4 linked regions of the Notamacropus eugenii genome follow. The protein of the gene in region 1 purifies or fractionates together with the protein of each later gene. This does not show direct contact. Links are inferred from orthologs where the notes say so. Each region holds a gene or a part of one and is shown on either strand. Other genes may lie near its edges. The genes, in order: GRB2, DOCK4, PEAK1 and PTPN12.

Region 1 (7,642 bases):
AATGGAACTGGAAGAAGTCAAGCCACCTAGCTGACTGGGTCCACTACAAATCTGTTATCTAATTTAATTGACCTTCACTGCTGTAAGGCAATCATTTTACTTTTTCCTATTTGATTGTCTAGCACAATCCCCATGGTATCCATCGATGCTATTTTTATCCCCATTTTGCTGATGAAGAAACTAAGGCAGACAATGGTTAAGTGACTTGCTTGGGGTTACACAAATTTTAAGTGTCTTCCAACTTCAGTTCTAGTGTTCCATACACTATACATACCTAACTGGTTATTTTCTTCCTCCCTTCCTTTTCTCCTTTCCTTCCTTCCCTTTTCTCTCTTAATTTTTCTTTCTTTCTCCTTCTATCTTTCCTTTCTTCTTTCCTTTTTACTATTTACTCCTATTTTTTAAAATTAAATTTCTTTTTTTAATAAAAATACACTTTTTCTTTTATTTCTTCTCTTGTCTTCACTGAGTAAGAGAGAAAAACAAACTCCCTGTTAAAAAACATATATGCATAGTCAAGCAAAACAAATTCCCCAAAATGGCCTTGGCCACCTCCTCCCCAAATACCTCAGTCTATACTATGATTCTATTGTCTTCTCTCAGGAGGTAGGTAACTTGCTTTATTATGAGTCCTCTGGAATCATGGGTGGTCATTGCATTGATCAGAATTCCCAAGTTTTTCAAAGTTGTCTTAGCAATATTATTGTTATTGTATAAATTATTCTTTGGTTCTGCTCACTCAATGCTGCATCAGTTCATACAACTCTTCCCAGATTTCTCTGAACTGTTCCTTTCATTTCTTATAACATGACAGTAGTCTATCACATTCACATAGCATAATTTGTTCAACTATTCTCCAATTGATAGGCAGCCCCTCAATTTCCAGTTCTTGGCCACCATAAAAAGAGTTACTATAAACATTTTTACTGCCTGCTTCTTTCAACTAGTGCTTATATACTATGGACTCACTGCCTTTCACCATTCTGGTTGCCCTTCTCAGGATACTCTCAAGCTCATATTGAGCTTGCAGTCCACTAGAACCCTCAGATCTTTTTTTTAACTGCCATCTAACAATACTTCCTTAATCTTATACTTCTGAGGTTGATTTTTTTGTACCCAAGTATAACACTACATTCATCTCTATTGAATTTTATCTTTTTAGATCCAACTCAATGTTCTAGGTATCAAGATCCTATTGTATTCTGACTCCATCATCCACCGTTAGCTATCCCTCTTAGCTTTGTATCATCTGAAAATTTGATGAGCATGTCATCTATACCTTTATCCAAGTCACTGACAGAAATGTTAAACAACACACAGCCAAGGACAGATCCTTAGGGTACTGCATTGTAGATCTACCATGTTGACAATAAATCATTAACAGTTACTCTTTGACTCTGTCCATCTGACTAGTTCTGAAGCCATCTGATTTTGTTATCATCTAACTCATATCTCAATCTTTTCCACAAGAATAATATATCTTTTTTTTAATCAAAAACTTCACTAAAACTTTGGTAAGCTATATCTACAACAGCGCTCTCATCTACCAGTTTATTAACGCTGTCAAAATTTTAAATGTGATTAGTACAGCATGACCTGTTCTTGATGAAGCCATGTTGACTCTTTGTAATCACTGCTTTCTTAGCTATTGACCTACCATCTCTTTAATGATCTGTTCTACAATTTTCTAAGGAAATTTTCAGATTCAGTCTCTCTCCTGAGTGATATTTCCACATCAATTACCTGTTGGGCATTCCAAAATGGATAACTCACAGATACTCAAACTCCTCTATCCAAATGATTTACCAGTTACATACTCCCCTGATTACAATTACCCAGATTCAGTCTGGTCTCATGGTTCAGGTTTGAAATAGAATGAAATAAGCCAACTGTATACCATCTAACTTTTTTTTTTTTTTTACCACCTAACATTTAACAAAAAGGAAATTCAATGAACAGTAGCATGGAAAGAATATTCAGAAAGTATGCAAAACACTGGTTCAGCTAGATTTAGCCCTACCTTGTCTCTATTAAAAAGGTTTCTGCTCAGAAGAATGTGTTGACTCTCCTGGCAAAGGGAAATCTTTAAAGCAACCTGCATGTGTTAACCAGTTCTTTCAACCAATCCTCATGTTATGGACTCAAACAACTTCATGGGCACCAATTTCTCAGAGGCATCACTCTCTTACTCAATAAATTTCACCAACTCTCCATTATGTCTAGGGTCAAATATAACTTCTCAGTTTGACATTTAAAGCTGTTTATAACCTAACTCCAACCTCTTTTTCTAGTCTTAATATACATTAATTCATGAACCATACCTTTTGATGCATCTAAACTGGCCTTCTTACTGTTCAGCAGTTGGAGAATGAATTCAGGAGAGTTCAAGGCATAGCTGAGAGAATACACACACACACACACACACACACACACACACACACACACACACACATACTTCAGGTAGTCACAGAGAGACTGCTTTCAGGAAGCTTTATGGAGTGGGACCTCTAGTAGCCCATCTGCCCATATCCAACAGAAACACAGTACCCAGGGAGGACCTTCCAGAAGATTCTACAAGCAGAGGAAGGACATTAAAGCTCCTAAGAGCCAAAGGCAAGAGTTACTTTGGCCACATATTTTCTTTGTACATAGCCTCGCTTGTTGTTTTTTGTCCATTTTTAAAGAGGAGCCAATGACATCACAGGTAGTCTTGACTTGCACATGAATTGAATTGAAGTGAGACAGAGTTGCACAAAGTTATCAGTCTGACTCCTTCTTCCAGTGTCATAGAAATCCGGTGGCAAGATAAAACTCAAGGTGACTACCGATGGCCTGAGATGCAGGGAGTGACCTTGGCTTCTTTGCTGTCTGACTAAGCTCTAAGCACTTCACCTGTTTTGGCCACCTTTGTGGTAGTTGGAATGAATTGTTTTCATCTACCCATTCCATGGGGATGGGAGGAAGCTTTCACAGGCTTTGGTTAGCTATCCCCCTAGCTTACCAACTGATTTGAGGTTCGTTGGTTACTCTCAACCTCATTTAGCCTATCTGCAAGATAGTCTTCCTGGGATGTCAATGCTGTACATGCTACAGATTTTTTGAGACACAGGTGAGAATTCGATGACATGTGGATACTAAAGGTTCATGAGCAGCCTTGAAAAGGACTGAGCAAGCCCTCACATACTCCATACTCCCCCCATACCATATATAGGCTCACTCATCCCATTAACACTGAGTATATGTTCGGGAGGGTACACCCCAGCTTTACTGAAGAAAATGTTTTATAGATAATGTACATAATCCGGCTCCTTCCTGCCTTTCCAGTGTTTTACCCTTTACTTCTTTCTACAATCTAGTAACATTGAACTCTTTGCTCTTCCTCACATAAGACACTATATTTCTGACTAGATATTTTCACTGTTCCATGCCTAGAATTTTCTCTATTCTTACTCTGGCCTCCCGGCTTTCTTAAACTCAGCCTAAAATCCCATGTTCTGTAAGAAGCCTTTTCTGGTCCCCTTTAATGCTAATGCCTTCCCTCTATGATTTCCTCCAATCTATCCAGTATATATCTTGTTTGTAGATAGTCATTTGCATGCGGTCTCCCCCATTAGATTGTGAACTTCCAGGCAGGAACTGTTTTGGGATCTTAATTTTTCTTTGTAAGCCTAGATCTTGGCTCAGTACCTGGAACATAGTAGCTACTTAATAAATTAATGCTTATTGACTGGACTATGGTATCTTAGGCATTTAAACCTTTGCTAAGGGCTAATTATGTCAGTTAACTAATTGTTAATGGTAAGCACACCAGTGGAGGTTCTAGAATTGTAGTTGTAGGAGTAGGTACCCACAGTCTGTACTCTATAACTTGAGAGTACCAGCTATCCTTTGGGGACCCCAATCTCAAGTATGAATGCAAATTGGGGGATACTCCAGAGAGGATGTTACATAAATAATATTGTAAACCCAATTATTTACAAATTGTCTAAAAAGTTGTATACTTTAACAATATAATAACAAAAACGTCCTTTTTTGTTTCTATTTCTCCTTCTGAATCATTTTTTTCTCTTTAGTAATTTTTAGGCGTTTGCTTTTAGGCGTTTTGACTCTTTTTCCTTCACTCACTTTGTATCTGCCAATATTTTAAAAAATGTATAATTCCATGATGTTCCTGTACCACGATTTATTCAGTCATTCCCACATCTTTAGACATGTGTTATTTCCAGGTTCTCTTTTTTCCGATGAAGGATGATACTGGTATGCCCTTTTTTGGTACAGAGAAGCCTTTTTCCCCTATCTTATCTCTTACCATCCTTAGGGTATTCTCATAGTGGGCGATGTGTTTCTCTTTTCATCTTTTACAATTTCTAGTTGGGGCGATGTCAGGAAAAGGGGAAGGGGAAACGATCAAGGGTAGGAAAGAGTTACAAACCACCTCGAGAAGGCGAGAGGGAAGTCTGGAGGGCAGGAGGTGGCGTCTTTGCTCTGGTTCTGAAAACAGTTACAGCTTCCTTTAGGAGGTGGGGGAAGGGTGGATGCCTGACGGCCTGCCCCATGACACCTGCTCGGAGGCGGGCCGGGGGCCAGCGCCCGCGTGTGCGCCTGCGCAAAGGGAGACTCCGAGAAGGTTTCCCCCACCTGCTGGGCAGGGCCGGGGAATGAACGCTTGCGCTCTGGGGCCCCTTTTACTGGGTGGCGGGGGGAGGGGGAGAAGGAGAGGAAGAGGGAAGTCTCCCGGGGGGGCGGGGCCTGGCCGGGCCGACGGAGGAGAGGAAGTTCTCGCGGGAGTACAGCGGAGGAGCGGAAGCGAGGCGGCTCTGGTGCTGCGGCTACCGGGCGGCGGCGGGCGCTGCTCTGCGGGGAGCGCCGGGATCTCGGCGGCCGCTCGCTGCGGGTGGACGGGCCGGCGGGGCGGAGAGCGGGAGCTCAGCGCCACTGTGAGTGCGGGGCGGCGGGCGGGGAAGCTAGGGCAGGGCCCGACTCTTTCCCCACCCCCCCACTCCTTTTTCTTCCCTTTCCTCGGGGAGGCGGCCCTGAGGGGGAGGCCGGGTCCTGAGCTTCGGGGCCGCCTCGGGCTGTGGGGCTGTGGCACCTCTGCTGGGGGTGAAGGAAGAGCCGGTGCCTCCGTCCCTTCACCCCACCCACCCGATCCGGGAGGCAGCAGTCCCTACCTGCACTGACACCTCCCTTCGAGACGCCCCCTCCACGGGGGGGCTCTGTTCCGAGTGACCCACTCTTTGAGAACCATCCCCCCAGTCTAGTCCTTAGGGACCTCCCCTCCTCCAGCGCCCTCTCTCTCCCATGCTGGGACCCCCAGAGAAGAGGCTGTGCAGCTCCCCTGCTGGGGGATTCTTGATTTCATTTTGTGTCTGTCTTTGGCTTGAGCGTTTGGAGACCCAGGCCGGGGAGAAGCAGAAATCGTTTACTGTATTCTGGTAACTACTAAGGCAAATGACTAATAATTCTCTGTGTCAGACTTAATGCAGGAAGCAGGGGATTCAGAAGAGACTGCCAGGGCGGTGGGGATGTCCCTTCTCTGACATGCTCGGCACTCACCTCTGTGTCAGCTGCTGTCTGTCTGGTGTCAGGAAAGATTTTGATTTTTTATTTTTCCTCAACTTCGGAGAACTCACCACAAAGCCTGCATTTTTCTAGGAAGAGAGGATAAGGGAACCATTTGAAGTGCATTTGTTTCTGTTATTTTTTTAAACTAGCATCACGGTGGGGGGGAAGTATTTGGTGTGATTGAAGCAAGGAAGTGGGACGTGTAGGGAGAATAAAATCAATTACTAGAAATTTTCTTTGGAAAGCTTTTAATGTAAAACTGATTTAAACCATGTCCTGTTTAGAAAATAATTCTGGACATCTTCATCTATGGTAGTAATTTGAAATTCAGTTTGAAGAAGAGATTATGGAGTATGCATTAGAGCTTGGTTTCAGGTATTACTTAGTTTTAAATTGAAAAGAATTGACCAGGCATGTTAGAAAAGGAATTTCTAGGTTTTGTTATTTCAATTTTTATGAGTACCGCCTTTCCAAACAAACCCTTTACAGGCTGATTCCTCCCTACCTACACCTGTATCATGTAAATAATTTTGGTTATCCTCTCATCTTTAACTCATTTCTATTCAGTGCCCAATGGATATCTGTATTTCATCATTAACAGATTTCTTTTTGTTTATGTGCATCATCAATTTTCTGCTTGCTTGAGTTTTTTTTCTTTAGAAAATGGTCAAATTTTAACTTTGTTGTTCCTGTTCTTTCACCTATATTCAGTGTAGCAGTAACTGTCTTTCAGTTTGAGAAGGACCAAGCCAGATGCTATATACATTCCACTATATTTTTTCATTCAACCAGAAGGGTTGCCAGAGATGCATGTGAGACTCGGGCTCCCCTCTGGGGATTTAGTGGACTCAAAGGATTGAATTCATCCCTAAGTAATTGACACTGCCGTAGGTCATAAGTGTAGTTCTCTCATGTCATTTGTATTGATTTTCTTCTAATCTCTTTCACTGTAGCTTGGGCCTTTGTGTTTGCTGTACCCTGTAGGGGCCTTTCTCTATGCCTGTGTCAGACACCATTATATTAAGGATTATATTATTCTAGGGTTTCTGAGAGTGATATGGATTTAGACAGATTCAGCTGTGAATTTTTAAAAATGAAGGCTTGAGTTGAGGTTCTTCTGGGTCCACTTCAGTTGTAAAATCACTTATTAGAACTTATTGAAAACCTTAGTAGAAAATAACTTCCTTAGCCCAATGGTGAATCAATTAAAGTGTACCCCTTGGTAGTTATATTCGTTTATTTACTGTGATTAGGTCCTCTCTCTTCATATTATCATTATTTTCTTTGTCTTGTTCTTGAGAATCCTCTAGTCAGTCCTAGACAAGAAAAGAAATCCTGGAGAAACATTAGCTTTCTCTTTTGGAGCCGTAGTGTTCAAATCTTAAGATCTTTTGATTTGTGTACCAGATACCAGGACAAAGCATTTGTGGTTTCTGATCAAGGTCTAAAAATTGTGTCTTATGATCCATCTGAGGCTTTAAGATTTCATTGTAATACATGTATTTTTACTTAGTAATTGTAATTGTATTTAAATTAATTTCATGATACAAAGTATTATAATTTTTTCATTTGCTTCCTCTGTCTTCATCAGGATTCTTTGTCCATCATTCTCATTCACTTGTATGGTTGTGGTTGGTGTGTACTCCATTTTTCTGTTAACTTATGTATCTTGACCTACTACAAAATGCCTACCTTCCTAGGAGACAGGTTCTGCTATTAAAAATGCATGTATTTCACCTCCTTCATTTCATGAAAGAGGTTGAGGTGATAGTGGTTATGGGTATGGAATATTGCATATACTGTCAGGTGGATGAATTTTTGTTTAATTTTTTTCTTTAGATATGTTTTAAAACAAGGCATGCAGGGTAGGAAAAGAGTAGAAAAATACATTTGGAAATGAATGTGATATAAAAGCAAAAGGCATCAATAAAAAGGGATTTGTTAAAAATAATGTTAAAGCTGCCATTGCAACCTCTTTCTTCCCCTTACACCTTGGGGTCACCACTAGCCTTATAGCCAATCCCAGTTCTGGTTAGGACTATTTACATATCATTTTCATTGTTTCTTTTCTCTTGTT
Region 2 (7,159 bases), on another chromosome or scaffold:
CAATGCTATATAACTATCTGCTAGCATCATCATTATTACCTGTGGGATCTTCTCTGACCTCCCCGTCACAAGAATGATCACCCTGTCCTTGCAGCATCTTGCCAAAACCTTACTCACAATTTCTCTTGCTTGTATCATAATTGTTTGTGTACATGTGTCCTCATCTAGTCCTTAGTCCCTAACCTCCTTAAGAGCAAGGCAAGACCTGTGTGGTTTCTATGGAGTTTAGATCTCTGAGGTCTAATCTGGTCCTAGCCACCTAACATAGTGTCTCACACATGATAGGCACGTAGAAAATAGAACTGCACTCATAAATTCTCGCTGAAGTAGTAGATGGTGATATGAGAAATTTCTGGGATCCTTGTAGTCCTAGAGTTTCTCAGAAAGCAAGAGTTTTCATCAGACTTCTCATTAGGACTGGCGATACTGCTGAGAGAGTCCCTCCCCTACCACCTGCACCTATACCAGGCGCTAGGAACAAATGCCTGAGCAAGCTAGGGCCCTCTCCTGCAAAGGAGTCTGGGAGAAGCACCTGGTATAGAAGGCTAATTTCAAGTGCTTTTCGTGGGAGTGAGTGAATGCTCAGGTGTGGCTAGGGGGAAGCTTGCAAGAACACCTCTGGTATTTCTGCCAGCTTTCCTCAAGTTCCATTCTGTATGACTGGCTGCTGAACCTCTGGTAGAGGCATCCTGGGGCAGATGTGACATCTCCATGTTTCCCCAAGATGTCTCTGGTAGGTGAATCTCCAGTGTTGTGCTGTACTGTTCCAAAATCCGACACCAAATATATCAAAGAAGGAATCTGGGCAATAGTGACAGGTCCTCCATCCCTGAGCATAACTCCCCATTGCATAGGAATGGGTCTCATACTAAGATATTAGGCTAGGCCTAGAAAATCTTACAAGTACTAGCCTAGACTTTTATAGCACTTCATAGCTTTAAAACTGCTTTATGCACAGTAGGTAAGTGCAAATATTATCTTTTTTTTTACAGATAATTAAATGGAGTCTCAGAGCAGTTCCCCATAATTTACTTGCTTGTACATAGTTGCTCGCATAATGTTGTCCCTAATAGATTATGAGCTCCTAGAGGGCAAAGATTGTCTTTTGCTTTTCTTTGCGGCCCCAGGGTTTAATAGAACATCTGGCACTTAGTAGGTGCTTAATAAATGTTTATTGACTAAGTTACTCCAGGTCACGAAGTTAGTAAGAGGTGGAGCCAGAGCTCAAAGCAAGGCTTTCTGGTTCCCAGATTCAGTATTCTTTCCATTATTGCATGCTACTTTAGAATTAGAAGGCATATCTTGAAGGAGTTGTTTTAGATCAATTCAGTGGGAATACTACAATACACAACAGGCAAAAAACAAAAAATGCATGTTTTATTAGGCTGAGTTTTTACTGATGAAAAATAGAAATGTGTTTGATAACAATGCTCTTTTAAATTTTATAGTAATTTACAGTTTTGAAGTAGTCTGGAAAAATTTTATGTAATGTTATGAATGGGTTACTAAAGGGGAGTTTGGGGGTAGAATGCTAAATGTGTGCTGCGATGTTATGAAAGTCAACTAATATAAATGTGACATTTATGATGTAATAAGATTTGTGCCTTGTTTACACATATTATCTCATCTGACCCCACAACAGCCTTTAAGCTAGTAATTATTGTTCCTATTTCATAGATGAAGAAACTGTGGCTAAGAGGTTAAATGACTAGTTAGAGTCACAGAATAAATGCCTTTCAGGTTTTCCTGATTCTAAGTCCAGCATTCTATGCACTCCACGGTGGCTTCTCTTTATAACATCCCTTTGTCCATTCCAAGAGAGATAACGGCTGGTCTGAGCTAGGAAGCCATTTCCTGTAATTTTGTAAACTGTCTTCAGCGAATGGTTTCAAGTCCATCTTTTGGTAGTCCTTCATTAGATTACACTGTCCCCTCCTTTAATGCTGATTTCAGGAATTTCTAATGGCATTAAAACAAAAAACTGAGAGTCACTTTTCCATTCAGCTTTCTCATTTTGGTCCATTTCCATTTTAAGAACCTCTTGTAGAAACAAATGTGAAAGTTTAGGAATCATTTTCTCTTCAACAGTCAGCTTGTTGACAATTCTAAATGTGACATCTCTGGGTCTTAAATAACCTTCTTGAGATGCTAGCATCTAGAGAACTTTAATTATATGTTTCCCCCAAATGAGAGTTGGGTCAAGCACTTGGTCCACCAAAATGAATACCAAATAACTCAATAATTAACTGTCTAGGATGTGGAGGTGGATAAACATTTGACTCAGCAGCCAGTTTAAGATATATAGCACTGACAGAGGTACTTTTAAAAAATAATTTCAGGGTTAGGGAATTTTGATAATAGAAGTGGCTGGTAACAGCACTTTTAACTTTGTGGTGATGAGACTCAGTTTTTGACCACACAATTATTAACTGTAAAAGCAAAAAACAAAACAAAAAAGCCTTCAGCAAAGGTGTATCAAACCTTATCTAGGGCAAAAATAACTTTTTTCCCCTCCTGAAATGGCAACTTCCAAATCACTATTACAGCTCTCTGCATTCTTTGCCCGGAGGCCCTCTTTTCCTTCAGGGGAAAGGAGGAAGAATCCGGGAAGTAGGAAAGCAATCTGAGACGGGTGGGCAGAAGGCAGAACTGGAGCGGTCACTCACTACTTGTGCACCCCCGGGAAAGTAATTTAACTCTCTCCCCGCTCCTATTTTTGTGATTGTTGTTTCTCCATCAGTAAAACGAGGAGGCTGAGCTTCCTTATGATCCTGCACCTAAAATCCCAGAAAAGACACATCCTGGAGGCTCCTCCCCCAAAGTTGGTTGCTCACCAAAGAGGCTCCTCCCCCAAATTTAGTTTCTGACCCAGGGTGCTCCTCCCTCAAAGTTTAGTTTCTTATTTCTGACACCATACAAAAGTCCTCCAGAGAACCCAAACCCATAGACTGGTAAAAGTAACTGTGATGGCCAAAACGCAACCCAAAAGAGTGTTACTGAAAAGTCCAGAGACCTCTGAATCGTCTCTGAAGCTGAGTGCAAGCTCTCTCCTCCTCTTCCCTTCCTTCATGTCCTCGGTTCCCTGACAAGAGTTCCAGCAACAGTATTCTACCCTCAAGGAGACTTTGGCAGAGATCCCAGAGAGGTCAGCGGACACAGCCTTCCTCCAGTGCGGAAGAAAACTGTAAGATACCGCTACACAAATGTCCAGGAACGAACATTTCATACCTGGAAGACGCAAGACGCACATAAAACAAGTTTCTTGATGCCAAACAAAGCCCAAAAGAGTCTAAGCTGAGGAAATGGAGGTGGAAAGACTTGCTAATTTGCAATGCCATACATACACGCCCCCAAATCAATCCACCCAACCGAAACCGATTGAACGGGTAGGAGCTCAAGTGGGGAGCTACTTCAGAACCGGAAGGGAAGAACCAAGAGAGGGTTCCCTAACAGCTCGGGGAGGGGAGGTGGCATTTCCTCCTCCTTTCTCCACCCGCTCTAAGGCAAACAGCTGCCAAATATGCGCCTCCGCCTCCTGCCCTCCCCGGGTTCACAGCGCCATTCCCAGGGCACACGTGGCTGCAGAAAGCTCAGCCTTTAAGACTCTGGCTAGCTCCTACAAGTCAGTTTGACTTGAGGGTTTGTGTTGCAGCAGGGACGACTGGAATAGAAAGCAGGAAAGAAAACTAATGCCACTGGCACCAAGGGCCCTGCTTCAAGGGGGCCACCAAACTCACCTGCATCACTGAATTTGCTGCTGCTGCCGCCAGCACCATCTTCTCCAGCTGCAGCCCCCTCAATCCCAAGAGAAGCCATTCCGCTGGGAGAGTGGGGGAGAGAAATGAGGAGGTGGGGTCTAGTTCCAATGAGAACCTAGGACTCAGTTTACACCTCACCTCACCCCACCCCCAACTTCAGCCTTTCCTCCACTCCCCAACGTAGCCACCAACAGCTCTTATTCAGCAGAACCGAACAAGGGAGAATGGGAGGGACCTCCATAAGCCCCACCCCAATCGCTAGGGTGTCCTGTCCCTTCTCTGGAGTGAGGTGGAAAACTACACTTCCCACCATGCATCGGGGAGTGCAGAGGAGGGAGGAGGGAAGAGGGGGGGAGTGGAGTGGAGGAAAGCAGTGGGGGCGGTGCGCCCGAGAGTGCCCCGGCGTGTTCGCTTAGTTCAGTGAATCAGAACAATGCCTGCGCGTCTGAATCCCCGGGAGCGCGTCTGAGGAAGCTGCGGAGAGGTGCAGCAGCGGCCCCAGCTCCAGCAGCCCGAGCAGCCTTAGCATCAGTCGGAGCACAGCCCGCGCACTGTCAGCGCTTGGGCAGGCTCCAGTCCTGACCCTTCTCCCTCTTGCCCAAGGACTGAGAGCGCTGAGCTGCCTTTAGCCCTTTCGCTGCTGCTGCTACTCTGGCTTCTGGTTTATTGTTTTGAGCTCCTGAGAGGAGGTGTGAGAGAGGGACAACAGAATCTTCCTTCAGCCATGTGGATACCTACAGAGCACGAGAAATACGGCGTAGGTGAGTCTTTCTCCGGGCGAACTTTTATTCTCTCTCCTGGGCTTGCAATTTTCCTCTTTCTCTTCTTTTCTGCTCTTGTTATTTGCCCCCTATATTTAGGTGAGGCTGGAAATGGATAGTTGGGGCATAATATAGTCCCCCGTTTGTTTCCCTCTTTTGCCTTGATACGGTGCTGTGCTATGCAGATCATCTCAAAGCGGAGAGAGATACACACATCCTTGCCCCCCCCAACTCGCTGGATTGGGGGCTCGCGCCCGCCCCAACGAAACCCTACGCACCCACCCCCTTCTCTACCACCCTCCGCTTTCAGATCCGCTGGCTAGCGATCAGCCGCCGATGCAAAGGGAACGGATCCCTTAGTTCTGCGTTGCCGACTCTCATCTCCGTCTTTGGAGTTTGGAAGTGGAGATGGGTGCATGTGTGTGTCAAGTTGCAAGGGAAAGGGCGAGCCCCTTTCCTAGTCTTCCCCTTCGTCCCTTCCCCCCCAAACCCCGGGATTTGAAACGACAATCAGCTGCAGAGATTTCCCGGGAGGAGGGTTGGGGACAGAGAAGAGAGGAAGGGGAGGGGGAAAAAACCCGAAACCAACAAAACCAGAAAGGGAAGGCAAACCCTTCCTTCTGGCTCGCATGAACATCCCCAGAGTGCAAAATGTGCAATAATCTACAAAGGACAATTCTGACAGGAGACTGAGCCCGTTCTATTTCCTTCCCCAACGCCCTTCTCCTCTCCACCCCCCCCCCCCCGCACATTTTTGTTTGTATTTTGTATTAAGTGTTTTTGAGGGTTGGGGGAGTTTCTCTGTGAATTTCCGTTGAATTGCTCCCTTTCCTTGTCATTTGAAAAGGAACGAGGACTTGGTTATGTTTCCACTTCTGGCTACTGCGTCCGGTCCGATCCTGGGGTCACTGCGGGGAGCCGGGCGTGGGGTGGGGTTTTTTTGGTGGGGGGTCAGTTGGAAAGTGCATTTTCAGTTCTGGGGAGTGAGCTAGGGATAGCCGTGGGTCAGACGGAGGCAGGAGGGTACGTTTTAAGGAAAGACCTGTCTGACTTTGGCGTTTTGAGAAAAAGGAAAACAGTGTAACACTCGCTCCTCTGTGCAAAGGTGAACAACAAAGGACATTAATGTTGACTGATGAACGCTGGATTCTCCCTTCCTCTCCCTCCTCCCATTTAATACGGACTAGAGTTCCCGTTCTTGTTTGAATTAAACTGGGTTCTTCCCTTCTCCCCATCCCCCTCCCCTCTTTCTGGGTTTTCAGGATTTGCCTTAAAAAAAAGAAAAGAAAGAAATGGGGCTTTCAGTGAAGGTCCTGAAACACGAACGGGCTAACCACGGCCCTAAAGGTCTCTCTGAGATCAGAACATTTATAGAATTTATCTATTATCCCCTTATTTCTTATCTGCCATCTACTGCCGCTAGGCAGTGCTTTTGAAAAGGGCAAATCTCTGTAGATGTGGATACTGTGGAAAATCTGCTTTCTTCCCATCTCATTCGTTTCCTGCAATTAAAAAAGGAAGATCAAAGTGCTGTTTGTGGGAGTCATTTTCACAGGGGACCCTCTCTCCCCAATTTTGCCTGGAGGAGAGACCGTGGAGTCCTCTGAACTGACTTCGTGAAGTGATTAAACAAAGTCAGCTCATCTTTTGCTTGACCTACTAAAAGCCTTCGTTCTGTGTTGAGTGGTTAGCAAGACAATAGTTTCTTCTAGATGTGTTTGGAGTATGTTTGACAGCCATTCTTTCCAGCTTCCTTCTTTTCCTTGGTCGCTTTTATATTTTTTCCATATTTAGGTAGAAGCCTAAAGAGTTTGTCTTTGTTTCTGAGCTTGAGGAAGAGGGTATCATCTCAGTATCATCTCATTGCACCGGGTTTAACAATTAGTGCAAGAAGCCAAGACCCATTCAGGGCAACCCCGTCCCATTTGGAGTTGATCCCAGATGTTGCTTTCTTCCAAGTGTTAAATTATAGAGATTATCGATGGGATTCATTTTCTTTTATTTTTCTATGTGCCAGGTCACAGCTGGGTTGCTAGTATCGATTAGCTCCCCTAGTCTCTTTTCTTTACTGCTGTGGGCAGGGTCTGATAAACCACTCTAGGGTTTGCTGGAGTAGCAAACAGGATATTATCAGTGAAGTATTTCAAGCTGCAGCAAAATCACTCAGATTTGTGTGGTGGTAGTTGTGATTTGGAGGCCACTTATCTGAGTGGGAAAAGGTGGCAAAGGAAGGGGGAGAGTGGAAAGATGAGTATTTCTTGCCAGAATTATTGCTTCCCTTTGTCATTTATACTGCAAACCTTTGAGGGCTAATAATATTTTTTTTTATTATTTTTCAAGCATTTGGCTTGTGGTTGCTTAGTTGTTCACCATCCATCTGTTAGAATTTTTTGGAGTACTGAGAAAAATTTGCTAGGATACTCCTGCATGCGGAGCTTCTTTCTTCACCATGGAGAGAACTATTTGTGGCTGTTAGTGCTTCAAGGCTTCTTCTCCTCCTCCTCCCTTTTACCCTTGATATAAATGTGTGTGTTTTCTGTAGTTCTTATGAATACCAGGGAAGAGTATTTTGTGGTTATCAAAGATTTGCAATTCTTGGTTCAGTTCAGTTTCATCAGTAATTGAAATAAATTGATCCTT
Region 3 (7,021 bases), on another chromosome or scaffold:
AGCAAAAGAAAAGGCACCAAAAGCTACCAAGGGACTGGAGCGGAGCAAAGAGGCCTCCTGCTGAGCCTGACCTTACCCAGAAGCTCATCCTGCACTTCTCCCCAGCTTCATCCCTCTGCCTCCCACCCTGTGAAAGCTCCCTCCTCCTCCTTCTCCACCAAGGGTGCCCGGATCTCCTCCGAACAAGCTGGAAAAGATAAGTGCCAGTACTTTGTAACTTTCCCAAGCGACTGTTCTATTTCTCATTAGATTTGCGTTCATCTCAACACCTCTGCTCCCTTCCGGCACAGATAGTGCTTTATTCATCTCTGCATCCCCCTCCGCATATATCAGGCACTTAATAAATGTGTCTGTTGATTTGAAGGCTCTGAAGCAGCCATTGATTTCATGATACGAAATCTGCACCAGAGGCCACAGCGGAGTCCCTACCGATTTTCACAATCAATGAAACAACCAAAAAAAGTGATCTGGCAGGTTGCAACACAATCAGCTCTAACACAGCACCTGTTTCATTTAAATAGCACAACATTATATAGTTAAAAACAACAAATCGCTCTCATAAAGCAAATGCTAATCTCATGATGTTTCACCATTGAGCAATTGAGAAGAGCAAGTCTACGAAATATGCCAAAAAATGAATTTATGGCCTCTCCTCATTTGGCAAATGTGGTAGGTGTTGTTAAATGTTGAAAAACACATATGCAAATAAGCAAATAAAGTTCTGAAGCTCAGAGACTTCAACATTTACATTAGCGTACATGTGCACAAGAAATGTTTACAGGAGCATAAACACAACACTTTCCAGGAACACATTTTTTAAAAAAAGGCGATTCTCAAAAAACAGCTATGAAGAGCGAATATTCTCGGAAATGGATTCCAAGGCCATATTAAGAAGGAGGGGAGGCATCACCAGACAAGGCGACTCCTAGGGAGCGTTCCCTTTGTCCCTCGGCGGTCCCTGTCTCCCAAGACAACAAAACCATCCCCACCACAGCCACTCATGGTACATCAAAAAGCGACACTAAGGACAACAACCTGATAAAGTTCTCGTTCTTCCAGAGATGACCAGCGACGCTGCGTTCCCCAGATACGCCCCCGACAGTCACGGAAGAGCACGCTCGGTGCATGTCCCCGGAGTCTGGGTGCGGGCCACAGCTAGTCCTGGCCGGCGCCCCCAGAGCCTCCAGGGCCGAGGCTAGACAGCCCCAATCCCCACCACTCTGGCCAACAAGGCTCGCTCTGCCTACTTCAGTGATTCTTAACAAAGTGAGTCACTACAGAGCAGCGAGCAAACACTCCAGCAAGTCGGCGCGCAAAGATGCCTACAGAGGCCGTCACCGAACGGGACCAGAACCGCTCCGGGAAGTTCTGCCCCCTCGGGGAAGCCCAGGAGCAGCGAAGGGTTTAACCGGGGCCCCTGAACCTTCACATCCAAGACGGCGCTGCCTCTCGCCAGGATCGGCTTCCTCGGAATCGGAGGATTCGGAAGCACGGGTCTCAGCCCTCCCCCAAGATGCACTGGAACCTTCCGGCCGGAGCCGAGTTCAGGTGAAGCGCTCCGCCCCGGCCACCGCTTCCTTTCCCGGTCTCGGTCCAAGGACGCCTAGAAAGCCCCGGGTCCAGGAGCGGGCCGCCTCTCAGCTCATCGCGAGGCCGAGCAGGAGCGTGCCAGCTCTGCCGTCCCCAGGCCGAGGGGGAGGAAATCATACTTTTCCTCTAACTCATCGCCCCCCATCCCATCCCAGAAGGTTCCCGAGGGGGACTGCAACAGGGTAGCGGCGGAGAGGGCACGCGCACACTCCCACTGCCAGCCCCTGCTTTCTGCCGAGCTCCGCAGCAATCCCGGCGGACCGAGTCCGGGCTCCAAGCTTTGAACTTGGCCCGCAGGACGGACCGCCCAAGGAGCCCCGGCCCCGCACTCCGGACCAGTGGAGGGGAGGGGGAAGGGAGCGAACTCCGCAGAGGGGCCAAGCCCCGGGCCCCGACGGCAGGGGCACCCCGGGGGGTCCCCGGCCAGCCTCGGCTCCTCGCGTCACCGCGGGCATTCCGGCCCCCGCGGGCGCCGCAGTCTGAGCCCGCGGCCCCCAGCTGCCCTGCCAGGGCACGGGGGGGCTGGTCCCGCGGGGAGGGGGCTCCGCCCGGGCAGCACGCCTCACCTGGAAGCCGCGGGCGCCGCCGCCACGACCACCTCGTCGTCCGTCTGTCCGCCGGCCCGTCCCGGCTGGGAGGGGGCGGGAGGCGCGCGGGCGGTCCCGGCCCGGTCCGTCCCGGCGCCGCCGCCTCCGCTGGAGCCGCCGCCGCCGCCGCCGCTGACACTCACAACAACTAACTAACTCCCCGCCGCCGCCGCCGCCTCCGCGCGCCCCCGCCAGCCCCCGCGCGCTCCCGCCCCGCCCGGCTCCGTGCGCGCCGCCGCCACCCTGGAATGTGCGCGCGCGCGCTTTCCCTCCTCCGCCTCTCCCCTCCCCCTTCCCCCCGCGGACAGGCGCGCGCGCGTGCCCCACGGTCCAGGGCGCTCCCCAGCCACCACCCAAGCACCCACCTCTTGCCCCGCGGATAGGGGAAAGCACCAACACGCGCGCACGCGCGCGCGCGCGGAAAGGGCCAGTCACCCCGCGGCCAGGTAGCCGAGGAAAAAAGGGGCGGGGAAACAGCTGGCCAAGGGGATTTGATTGGCTTGGGGGCGGGGCTAGGATAGGGGGCGTGGCAGGTTGGCGCGGGGCCCCGCGGCCGGCCTGAAGACCCGGAGCTTCTGGGTTTCGAAGGGAGAGAGGAGTAAAAAGAGAGTGCAAACTAAGTACGAAGCGCTTCCCCTCCCCGACTCCGTTCTCTTTTCAATACAGACGCGCTTTGGTTAGGCCTCCCAGAGTCTGCAGGGGGCGGAGTAAATAAACTACATCTCCCAGCAATCTCTGCGAAAAATCACCTTGTTCGTGTGCACGTAGGTTCATTCCGCGACCAAGAAAAATAATCCCGAGAGTTTTTCGAGGAATGCGGCGCGGCAAGTTCCACTTGGCCTTGAGCCACACCGGAAAACCGCTAGTGTTCCCCACCGAGTCAGGAATTTACGGTAAGGTAAGCTCTCCAAGGCGCAGAGGGGGCGGGGGCGTCCGTGGCGGGAGCGGGGAGAGGGCTGCGGTGGAGGGATCCGTGCGTCGAGGCGTGAAGTGGTCCGCAGCGGAGAGCGAGCGCGTCTGCAAGGGACTGAGGGAATTGTGCTCAGTGCGGGGGGCTCCGAGGAGGCCCGCGGCCTCTCCCTGCCCGCCGCCCGCAGGTCAGTAAGCGCGGACGACCCTCGGGGTGGCCCGCTCCGAGACGCCGAAAGAACCTCGCAGACACCCCGTCCTCCCCCGCTCCCTTCCCCATTGTTGACCCTCAGTTTGCCTGGTTGCAGGCTGGCCGGTTGGGGGGCCGACTACTTCCGGTGGTGGGGGGAATCTGGGGCTCCTTGGGAGAGGGACCACCTACTTCCGGCGGGGGCGGGTCCGGCCGAGGGTACCTGCTCACTTCCGGCGCAGGGAGCGGGCGGAGGTTAGTGGTCTCGGTGAAGGTTCCCCCACTGCCCCCACAGGTTGCTTTCTCCATTCCCGTAGTGACGTGTGGCCCCAGGTCTTTATTTCAGCTTCATTTCCGGCCCCCACCTGCGCACCTGCTGCCAGCCTCTGGCTGCCAGGTAGCCTTTGATGGAGGAGACGCTGCGGGCTGGGTCCTTTCCCTCGCGTCCGGGGGCGCCATCCTTCCGGCCTGAAAGGCCGATTTACCGAATCCGCTGCTTTCTCCCGTACCCTCGGACCCCGCGGTCCTCGGCCTTGCCCACGGTCACGCGTTGTTACGTGGCTGAGGGGCCCCACGCTCCCCGTGCGGGTTTAAGCTGCGGAGCCTGCGGGGCAAGGGGCCGAGCCGCTGCGGTCCGGTGCTCGGGAAGCTCCTTCGGCTGGAGGCAGCCCTGAAGTTTGAGGTCAAAAACAAGCTTTTGATTTACTCTTGGAATGTGAGTTTTTGTAGGGAGAAGTTTCCGTCGGTGTCTCCAGTGCCTAACAGACACTTGGGAGCTTGACCCATTTTGACACGAATTCAGTTCTTGTTACAGGCTTCCAGAAGAATTCACTTCTAGTGGGAGCATTTAAGTGATGTTATGTTAAGAAGACGGCCAGCTGGGGCCGGGGATGGAGAGCTGGGCTTGGGGTTCGAATCGAGCCTCCTGAGCCTCCCCAAGTCACTTCATTTCTGCCTGCCTCAGTTTCCTTTGCTGTCAGATGGGGATGATAACAACACCCACAGGGTTGTTGAAAAGATCAAATGAGATATTTGTAAAGCGCCTTAGCCTCTGCTAAAGGTGTCTTATTTAGAGTGGGGTATGGGGTAGAGTGTAAAAAGTACTGGATTTGAAGCCAGTCATGTTCACATCCTGGACGTGTGTGACCCCATTAGGCAAATCACGCAACCTGTCTGAGGACTTCGTTTTCCTTATCTGTACAATGAAAGAGTAAAAATAGATTTCTTTAAAAAAGTTTTTTTATTCATTTCCTTTTTTACATTCCTGTTCCTTTGCAATGACTTCCCCTTTCCTAACCGCTGAACCTTTCCTTGTAACAAGTGCAATCAAGCAAAACAAATGAACACATTAACTCTGTATGTGAATGTGTGCCTCCTTCTCCACAGGGGTCCATCCCCCCATCCCTTCCACCTGGTGGTAGTATGCTTCACCAACATTCCATCTCCCATCTCACTGTCTTTCCCCTGCCTTTCTTCAGTCCCTAGAATGCACTCCTCCTCTTTACCTCTTAGAATTCCTACTTTTAAAGCACAGCTTACAAGGTCCTTTCTACTTGAAGCCTTTCCTCATCTCCCCAAAAGTTAGTACCTCCCCCTGGAAATTGCCTTGTATTTATTTTATATATTTTTGGTAAGAGAGAGAGTGTGTGTGTATTGTTTTCCTAATACAGAGTAAGCTCCTTTCTAGGCCCTGGACTAAAGTCCTTAGCCTCTAGGAACTGTTTTGTTTCCCCATCGTATGTCAATCTCTGTGCAATCTCTTGATATGTCGTTAGGTACATAGTAGGTAGGCATTTAATAAATTCTTGTGAATTGATTGATGGCAGAATTGGTCACTGTATTGATCAGAGCTCTGAAGTCATTTGATTGTATTTTCTGTTACATTTTTGTGGTCAGCCTATAAATTGTTCTTTTGGTTCTACTTAACTTGAATCTGCTGAATTATCTTTTAGGGCACCCTTCAACTGCAATATTCTGTTCTTCAGGAAGCCTGAAACATTTAGTGTTTTGTGAAAGCTGATTATTTAAACCTGTCACTGAAAAGGCTATAAATTGGCTTGATTTGAAATAATTTAGAGATTAAAACTATTAAATTTATTTCTGTTGAACTTCTAATAAACTGCTCCATTCACTATTAACCAGCCTCATAATCCAAGATGAAAATTACAGCTTGTTTTCTTCATCTTAAGCTTTTTGTGGTTTTTGTCTTGTTTTTAAGGAAAAAAAATGTTTATTTGAGGTCTCTAAAACTCAGTTCTTAGTTTTTGGTTTGTTGTATTGGGTGAGGGGAGAGTGAAGGAAGGACTTGCAGAATTATAGATAGAGTACCTTGGGGGGGTGGGGGGAACAACATAAACAAAGTCAGGCCAAAGTTTAATGAAAGAGAGGAACATGCAAATGACCTCCAAATAATTAGCAAGATATTTATTTCATTATCACAAGAATGTTTCATTAAAAGGAAAATAGAAGTGTTCGTTATTTGTTGTGCTATAAGACATAGAGTATTGTAGACTCATCCTGACAGATTTGGAATTATGGAAATAATAGGAAATTGTGAAAAAGTTAGAGAAAAACGATATTAAAATGTGAACTGAGGTAGTTACATTTCCTTAGTGTAGTTGGAAAGCAAAGGAGTATATTAAGTTGGCCTTTATGATGTTCCACTAGAGAAATGCAATATAATAGAAATAAAAAAAATTGCTGTAGCTTAAAGACTTGAGCAGGTTGAAAAAGTGTCTGTTCAGAAGAAAGCAATACATAAAGCACATATCTGAGAAAGGATGTTTTCTGATAAGTGGCAGCTATTTGTTGGTTCTATTAAAGGAGAAATATTAGAGGAGTATGTGCAGAGAAGAGAGGTGAAGACCATAGAACATTTTAGAAAGAGAGTTATGTGGAGAAGCTGATGGATTTACTATGTGATAGAAGAAATTTAAAAATATGCTTGGCTCCTGTTTTTGTTATTTTTATAATCAGGACAACAAAATTAGAAAGTAAACTTAGACTGTATTTTGGGGACATGACTAAAATTTTGTTTCAGTGAATTATATAGGAATCTGCACTCCTAACTAATAATACTCAGATTGCATGATAACTTATGTTACCAAAGCATCCAGGGATCATCACACTGCCCAAAGTAGTTAGGAATAAGTCAATAATACAAAACTCAGTGCTTTAGCAGAATTGATAACATTTGTCATCTTTTACAAATTTTTACTCTTTTGGAACATAGACCTTTGAGTAAGAATGGACTCCCAAAAATCTACTTCAATCCAGTGTTAAGTTCCTTTACAACATCCTTAACAAGTGGAGATCCAGTCTCTATTTTGTGGTGTAGAGCTCACTCAAAGGGCAGTCCATTCCATTTGGGGATAGCTCTCATTTGAAACCCCCCCCCAAAAAATTTGTATACTTTGAGCTGGAATTGGCCTTCCTGTGATTTCCACATTTTACTATTTTTGTTTTTCCTTTGTTCATCTTTTGTTCTATCCAAAGTATACTAATATTCTTGAAATATTTTTATATCCTAAAGGTGTGAGTAGTAGGCAATATTTTCTTACCTTATAGATGTTTTTCTACTTTTTTTACCTTTTTTTTTAACCCTACAAAAATTGCAGTCTTTGACTTTCCAGATGGAAATCAAGGACAGGAAACTCAATCACCACCTCCCTACTTATAAGGTTATAGGGTATGATCATGGTTTGAATAGCATCCAAGATACAACCTAAAATTTGTATGATCCTGC
Region 4 (7,148 bases), on another chromosome or scaffold:
CAACAACAACAAAAATGCATAAGGCATCATCCTAAGTGCTGGGATACAAGGACAAAATGAAAAATAGTCCTTGTCCTCTAGGAGTTTACTGTAAACAGGAGATCCAGGAGGGTGTAAAGATAAGAGAAGACTTTCCAAGGGAAGGGGCACATAAAATGAGCCCTGAATAAAGCTAGAACTGTAAAAGGCCTAGACTAGAAGCTCATTTCAGGCATGCAAAAGCAGGGAGGCAGGAACTGTAATACCAAGCTCTAGGAAGAGAAAATAAACAGTTTTAGCTCGAATGAAGAGTGGGTAATGTGTAGTAAACCTAGAAATGTAATCTGTAACTAGGTCTTAAAAGGTTTTACATGCTATACAAGAGGCAGTATGGCACTATGCTTTAGTGGAGAGATATCTATATTGAGAATTTTCTCATCAGAGAATTCTGTATTTCAATAAAATCATAAATCTCTTTCCTATTTCTTAAATGACAAGAGTAAGGGAATGGCATGACTTGACTTTGCTGTCTCTACAATCTCCTTTTTAGAAATCCCACAATAGAAAATACAATGTTTTCTACATGCATTAATGTAAAATTTCTAAGAAAAAAATAACATTCCTTTTTTAAAACCAATACTTCTTTGAGACCAGTTCATAAAGGAGGTGGGGGAGAAAGATTCAGGGTGGCATAGGCAAAAAGAGCCCTTTCTATTTCTCCTTTATGTTTATCGATTAGAATTTAGAGAGGATCAGGCGGTTTCCTGTATCAGAGGTTCAGAATGAACTTTCACCTATCTATATCTATAAAATTTATTGATATATCTAATTTATCTTTTATTCTTCTGTAATCTAATCTATTATTCACCTATTATCTAATCCAATTTTCTATCTTTTATTCATCTATCGTCTAATCTATCTATCTATCTATCTATTCTCCTTTAAAGGTGTTACTAGGGAGATACTCAGGAGTAGATTTAATCTCCTTTGCTAGTTTCACACACATGATTCCAGTACAAAAGCATAATGACTCAGTGGTTTATGCAACAAGCTGGAAACTCAGGCCCTGTGGGTTTCTGGCCTTGCTTCTGCCATTTACTTTCTAACATGGTGTAAGTCATTTTAAATCCCCATTCTTTAGTTTCTTCACCTGTACGATGAGGAAAATTCTATCAAATTGCTTTCCCGATGCATAAGAAACAATAAAAGTAATTCACAAATTGAGTTATAATGCTATGAAAATCACAAAATGCAAACTTTTCTGAGATAATAGCTATGAAAGTGATGTGAAAATTAAAATTATTATATAGTGTAAAGCATTATTATCAGTGCTAATGTGTTGAAAGGGGTACTAGGAACTTGAAAGAAGCAAATGAATCTGAAAATTCTTTTGGACAATTAGATTTATTCTTTTTCTCACCTAAACTTTAGTGAGAGCTCTGGAAAAGTAGCAAGACTCACTGATTTGCATTCATGTTCTTTTCTGCTTCTTGACAAATTATTCCAAATAGTGGGGCTAATGAGCAATGAAACGATTAAAAAGTGAGACCAGAGAAGAGAGGAAGAAAAGCAAAGAGTTGGGATATTAAATCCTTGAAGAATCATTAACTAACATCTTCAAATCCTCTCTGTCCACTGGATCTTTCAAATATGTTCTTCAAATATGTACCGGCCTCCCTATCTTGGGAAAAATAAAACAAAATAAAATTTTGACTAGATTCCCCTCCCTCCAGCCTATATGCTACTTTTCTTTTTACTTTAATTGATAATTTTCTCAAACAAATTGTCTATACCTGCTTTCCTCATTCATTCTTAACTTATCCCACTGAAATTCAGTTTCTGATCCCACCACTACATTGATTGCACTCATCACAGTCACCAGTATCTTCTTAATTTCCAGATCCAATTGCTTTGCATTTTTCTCACAAGTTTATTTTATAAGATTAAATATAACTGAAAACAGGACAATGAAAATATACGTAGGGATAACATTTAAAAGAATCTTGCATCTCGACAGGCTAGAGTAGAGGTGTCAAACTGGTTGCCTGTGGGACTCCAAGCGTGGTTGAGCTAGATTAAGATGTAAATGGGAAATGTTTAACAAAATATATAAAAAGACAACATAGATAATATTAATTTGTGGTTTTTAAGTCAATATATGGCCCCCAGGGATCCATTTCTATTTCAATTTGATACCACAGGTCAGAGCAGCAGGTTGAATCTAACAAGATAAAATTTAATAGTGAGAAACACACTTTGGGGGAAAAAAATCCACTTTCAAATCCAAGATGGGGAGTGAGGAGGGGAGGGCACAGTTAAACAATAGTTGTTCTTCAAAAGATCTGGAGGTCTTAGTTAACTACCAGCTCGATACGAATCAACAGTATGCTGCGGCAGCCACAAGAAGCCTAATGCAGTCTCGAGCTCCACTAAGAGACCCGGAGGTTTCAGCAGCAGGGCGATGACCTGCGTACCCTGCCCTCCTCAGACCTTCTGGGGAGAACTGTGCTTGATTCTGCATGCGGAGAGTGTGGAGAGCAGGGCAAACAAGACGGTCAGTGGCCTTGAGTCTGTGACCTATGAGGGTTAGTTGCAGCAAAGGTTGGAGAAGAGATGATCTGAGGCTGGGGAGTGGGGAACAGAATGGCTACCTCCAGATATCTGAAGCCCTGTCACATAGAGAAGGTAGATTGTTCTCTCTGGTTTCGCTGGACAGAACCAGGAAAGGGTGGCAACTGCAAAGAGGTCAGTTCAGGCTTGGCATCGGAAAAGACTTGCTAATCATGCCAGCTGTCTTGTTAGGGCTCTCGTAGAAGTGCTGGGCTTCTCTTCAAGCAGATGCCCACTGCATGGATGTTACAGTTTAGATTTCCTTCATATATGGGTTGGACTAGGGGGGTGCTGAGGTCCCTGCCCCCCCCCCCCCGACTGTGAATTATATACACATGTATAACGTATACATTTTGTTACGTGTGTAAAACATCTTTTTAGGACTGGATCTATGACGTCATCTGTTTAGGGAGCTCCTGGGGATGAACCCCCTCTTCCAACCAACCTTTCTGCATCTTACAGCCTTACAGAGTCTGGGCAACCAAGACGCAGAGGACAGCAGGCCAGCTCTCTATCCATTATAACATCCACCATGCCTGTTTTCTTCAGGTTTAGTGATCTGAGTGAGATGTTGAAAAGAATTTAAAAACTGGGGCATTGGAGGATGAGATTAGTGACCTTGGGCAAGTCTCTAGACCTCTCTCGCTCTCGTTTCCTTATCTCTAAAATGGGAATAAGAATGCTTGCAACCTTCTCCCGGAGCTCTGATGAGGAAAGCCTTTTGTCAACTTTAAAATTCTTCACAAGGGAGTTAACAGTAGTTGATGTCGGAGATCCTTTCGAGAGCTTAAACTTCTGCATTCTACAGTGCCGAGCGGTGCTGTGCTTGTTCAGTCTGCACGTTCCCCAAGCAGTATGAGCATCTTCCTCATGGGGCGGTTGAGGGGAGCAAGTAAGCTCCTCCCAAAGAGCTTCACCCCCATCTAGTGAACCCGTCAGCTTCATCCGTGCACTAGGAAACAGAGAAAGATTCAACGACTACTGAACACCTAAAGCAGTTTTTGACATAGCCACAAGAACCACAATTCCCAGTAAGCCCCACTCTTCCCAGGCCGCCTCACAGACACTATCCTCTTACACTTCGGCCCCTCCTCCCGCCATCAACGTTGCATGCTGGGAATTGTAGTTCTAGCTTAGGGATGGGGAAGGGGAAAGGAAGGAAGAACTTAAACATTTTCGGGAATGTATTTTTCCTCAGTATGGGGAGCGACATACTCTCGATCCAATAGAAGTCCTACTGGGTCCTGTAAAGGCAAAGCCCTATGAGATTACAAGAACTCTTCTCCGGGGGACCTACAATATCCTGGAGAGCAAATTCTCCGGATAGCCAATTCACCACCAGGATAGTGGAGGGGCGGAACCCCTGGCCCCGGAAGGAGAGCGGTGATCGCTCCACCAGTCAAGCGACGGGTCTTCCAGCCAGTTGGAACCCGAAGGATGGGACCGGGGCCGTGCTTTACATCGGAGATTGGAAGAGAAGAGAAGGGCCGGCAGGATTGACAGAGAGTTCCGTTTGGGGCGGGGCTGAGGTCGCGGGGCCGCGCGTCGCGTCGGGGCGGCGGCGGGGACGCGCGCCTGGGGAAAGAGGTCGACTGTGCCGGGCGGAGGGGGCTGGGCAACCTAGGGGAGTCGCGTCCCGAAGGCGGCGGCGGCGGCGGCGGCGTCTCTGGCGGAGGCGGAGGCGGAGGCGGAGGCGGAGGGCGGGGAAGGAGGATGGAACCAGCTGGGGGCTGGGGCTGGTGCTGAGACGCGGCGCTTCTCCCTTCGTACGGCTCCTGGAAGTTGTGCGGGTGTTCGCCGGACGCCGGTGCCGCCCCTGCCGCTGCCGCTGCCGGCCGGGCTTGGCGGGAGAGCAGGCGGGCGGGAGGGGCCGCCGGGGCTGGCGGTGGTCGGGCAGGGAGGGGGGGAAGGGAAGGGGGAGCGACCTGGGGAAGACGGAGCGCGCTTTGCGCCGGGCGGGCGGGCGGCGGCGGGGGGGCCAGCGGCCGCAGCCGCCGGGAGGACGCGAGGCGATGGAACAAGTGGAGATCCTGAGGAAATTCATCCAGAGGGTCCAGGCCATGAAGAGCCCGGACCACAATGGGGAGGACAACTTCGCCCGGGACTTCATGGTGAGTTCTGCCCCGCCCGGGGTCGCTTTGTGTGGGTGCCCGTGCCTGAAGAGGGGGTGTCAGCGAGAGCCGGGGGCGACGGGGCGGACGCCCACCTGCCGGGCGCGGGGGCTCCTGCGGCCGCGGGGGGTGGGGCAGCCGCCGCCCCGAGCTCGGGTCCCGCGGAGCGGGAGTGGCTGTGAGGCGGCGGCTCCCTTCGTCGGTCTCGGAGACCACCTATTGTTCCCCCGCTGCCCCCGCCCCGGACACCCCCCAGGCTCTGGCGGGGCGCTGGGGTAAGTGGCTCTGGCACCTTCTCGCTGCCCTGAAGCCCCTCCTCGGTCCGCCCAGCTTTTTGCTTTGAGTGTCTGGAAAGGGTCAGGGCAGCGGGGGCTTGGGGCTGGCGTTTTCTTCCCAGTCCTGGCGTTTCCGGGGGGGGGGGGGGTAAGGGAGAAGGGTGCAATCGGTGTGTAGGGCGCATGAAGCAACTCCATGGGGTGTCTGGAGCTCTGGGTGGTTGGATTGGGGGAGGACTGGACCGCGCCTGGGTATCGCAGGTTCTCCCCCAGGTTTGCAGGAGGCATCTCCTGGAGAGAACGTGTTCAGTGTACCAAGATGTCCATAGCTTCCTGCCTGGAGCCCACGTTATTGGGGTCGTGTGTGTGTGAGGTGGAGGACAGCAGGGAAATAATGCTGAAGGAAGCCTTTTCCTAGGGGATTTTGTGCAAGGCAATGGAGGGGATGTGAATATCACTTCCTATCCGGGGTGGGGGTGGGGAACTTGGGAACAATAGTTGGGATGGGGCGGAGGCGATGGTTCTCTGGGCTGGAGGCCTGAACTGGGAGATAACCTTCCTCACTCTTCCTCCCCCTTGTGCCCCCCTCCCATTCAGTGTCGGGGCTGGACAGATGGGAAGGACGTAAAGTTGTCTGCAGGTAGATGAGTTCAGTGAGGTTAGATATCTGGAGAAGGGGAGCTCATAAAGGCAACATCCTTCCATTTTCTATTCACCCCCCCCCCCCTTTTTTTCTGGACAATGACCCCTCAAGAATTATTTCCCGTCCTGGGAGGAGGCGGTGGGAGGTGGCCGGTGGCTGCTGTTGCTCCTACGGATATTGCGCAAGACTCTGGGGCGTTGGAAACCCTGGAGGTCTGAGGAATGGAGGAGGAAGCGGGACTTTGGGAAGTGCTTACTCCTTCCAGGGCTGGTTTGGGGAGAGGGAGTTAAAAGCTGAGATCTGCTTGGGAAGGATTTTGCTCCTGAGGGAGCATAGTCTCATAACTATATTTAGAAAATGAAAAAGATGTAGTGCTGGCATCCACAGAGAGGGCTGGGGAGAAAACATCCAAACGAAGAGAGCAGATGGATTTCTTTTAAGGTTCAGGTTATCCTTAGGCTAAAGCAAAGTACCCACTGACTTGAGGTTAAAGCTTTACTGCAGAATTCCCTACTCACATGTAGGGAATTTAGATGGTAGATTTTAAAATGAATTGTGATGACTTTACAGAGCCTTGTGATTTTTCGTGTTTTTTTTCCTGAAACCTGTAACATAAGATAAGGAACAAAGATAGGTTGATGACCATAATTTGAAGCTTATTTCGAAAATGTATATTTGGGCTGCAGTGATAAAATTTTACCCAGGAGAAAAAAAGAAAAGAGTGTATGGCAAGTGGTTTAACCCTATCAGCCGGAAATGGCTATTTTTCTTTGATTTGTGTGTTTCATTCATTCTTTTTCTGTGCTTTTTGAGAAATAGAGCTACATTTAGGAGGAAAATGTAAATAAGTTATTTTGTTTTGGTTTTTTTTGATAAGAATTTTCAGTATGTTGAGATAATTTGAAATGGAGTCATTCTTCAAAGTAACTGGGATTTGGGGAGGTCCTATTTTAAATTTTTTTTTACTACACCATGATGGATGAAGATGTTTACTTTAAAATATAAACTTCCAGAAATAATTTTTTTCAGTGCTAAGGAATGAAAGAAATAGAGGAGTTGTAATCTTTGCTCATCTCTTCATTTGTTTTCTTGTTATTCTAGCTCTTCTTGGATACTTTTATCTACTTCACTTAGATACTTGAGACTTTTTCTTATGAAGGAGAAGAATTACATAATTTAATGATTCGGTACCTGTAGCTTTATGATCATTACCTCAGGTTCAGGTTCCCAATACTAGTATATCTTTAGGGAAATGTGAAATACCTTTTGGGACTTTTCTTAGATTCCTTTGAGTTGTGTAGAGGCCGCTTTTCTCTCATTGCCCTGGGGAAGAAAACTTGTGTACTCTACGTTTTAGACACAAGCCTTCCAGGGATAAATTATTAATTAAACTATTTCATTTCTGAGTATATCTGCTTAGGGAGAGAGAAATAAAAAAATGTCAATCTCAGTTTGCTTCCATAATTATAAGGCATTGCTTGGTGACTCCAGTTCCAAGGTTTGATGACTAAGGTCTGTCTCATCACACCA

Evidence for each region.
Region 2: the proteins of GRB2 (region 1) and DOCK4 purify together in Homo sapiens (co-immunoprecipitation; 4 studies listed by BioGRID and IntAct, counting the BioPlex papers as one, with this or other methods). This does not show direct contact. The link is inferred for Notamacropus eugenii from reciprocal best matches to the Homo sapiens genes GRB2 and DOCK4.
Region 3: the proteins of GRB2 (region 1) and PEAK1 purify together in Homo sapiens (co-immunoprecipitation; 3 studies listed by BioGRID and IntAct, counting the BioPlex papers as one, with this or other methods). This does not show direct contact. The link is inferred for Notamacropus eugenii from reciprocal best matches to the Homo sapiens genes GRB2 and PEAK1.
Region 4: the proteins of GRB2 (region 1) and PTPN12 purify together in Homo sapiens (affinity purification with mass spectrometry; 3 studies listed by BioGRID and IntAct, with this or other methods). This does not show direct contact. The link is inferred for Notamacropus eugenii from reciprocal best matches to the Homo sapiens genes GRB2 and PTPN12.

What each region holds. Positions count from the first base shown.
Region 1 is NC_092873.1:341,472,172-341,479,813, reverse strand, and holds the start of GRB2 (growth factor receptor-bound protein 2), read left to right. Parts: upstream 1-4,624; 5' UTR 4,625-4,937; intron 4,938-7,642. UniProt on the Homo sapiens protein: Non-enzymatic adapter protein that plays a pivotal role in precisely regulated signaling cascades from cell surface receptors to cellular responses, including signaling transduction and gene expression.
Region 2 is NC_092874.1:141,836,219-141,843,377, forward strand, and holds the start of DOCK4 (dedicator of cytokinesis protein 4), read left to right. Parts: upstream 1-4,149; 5' UTR 4,150-4,482; coding exon 4,483-4,519; intron 4,520-7,159. Other genes in the region: ZNF277 (zinc finger protein 277), read right to left, coding at 3,738-3,816. UniProt on the Homo sapiens protein: Functions as a guanine nucleotide exchange factor (GEF) that promotes the exchange of GDP to GTP, converting inactive GDP-bound small GTPases into their active GTP-bound form. Involved in regulation of adherens junction between cells.
Region 3 is NC_092872.1:257,226,018-257,233,038, forward strand, and holds the start of PEAK1 (inactive tyrosine-protein kinase PEAK1), read right to left. Parts: upstream 3,014-7,021; 5' UTR 2,927-3,013; intron 2,647-2,926; exon of another isoform or gene 2,543-2,646; intron 2,350-2,542; exon of another isoform or gene 2,157-2,349; intron 2,027-2,156; exon of another isoform or gene 1-2,026. UniProt on the Homo sapiens protein: Probable catalytically inactive kinase. Scaffolding protein that regulates the cytoskeleton to control cell spreading and migration by modulating focal adhesion dynamics. Acts as a scaffold for mediating EGFR signaling.
Region 4 is NC_092874.1:153,756,830-153,763,977, forward strand, and holds the start of PTPN12 (tyrosine-protein phosphatase non-receptor type 12), read left to right. Parts: upstream 1-4,138; 5' UTR 4,139-4,601; coding exon 4,602-4,700; intron 4,701-7,148. UniProt on the Homo sapiens protein: Dephosphorylates a range of proteins, and thereby regulates cellular signaling cascades. Dephosphorylates cellular tyrosine kinases, such as ERBB2 and PTK2B/PYK2, and thereby regulates signaling via ERBB2 and PTK2B/PYK2.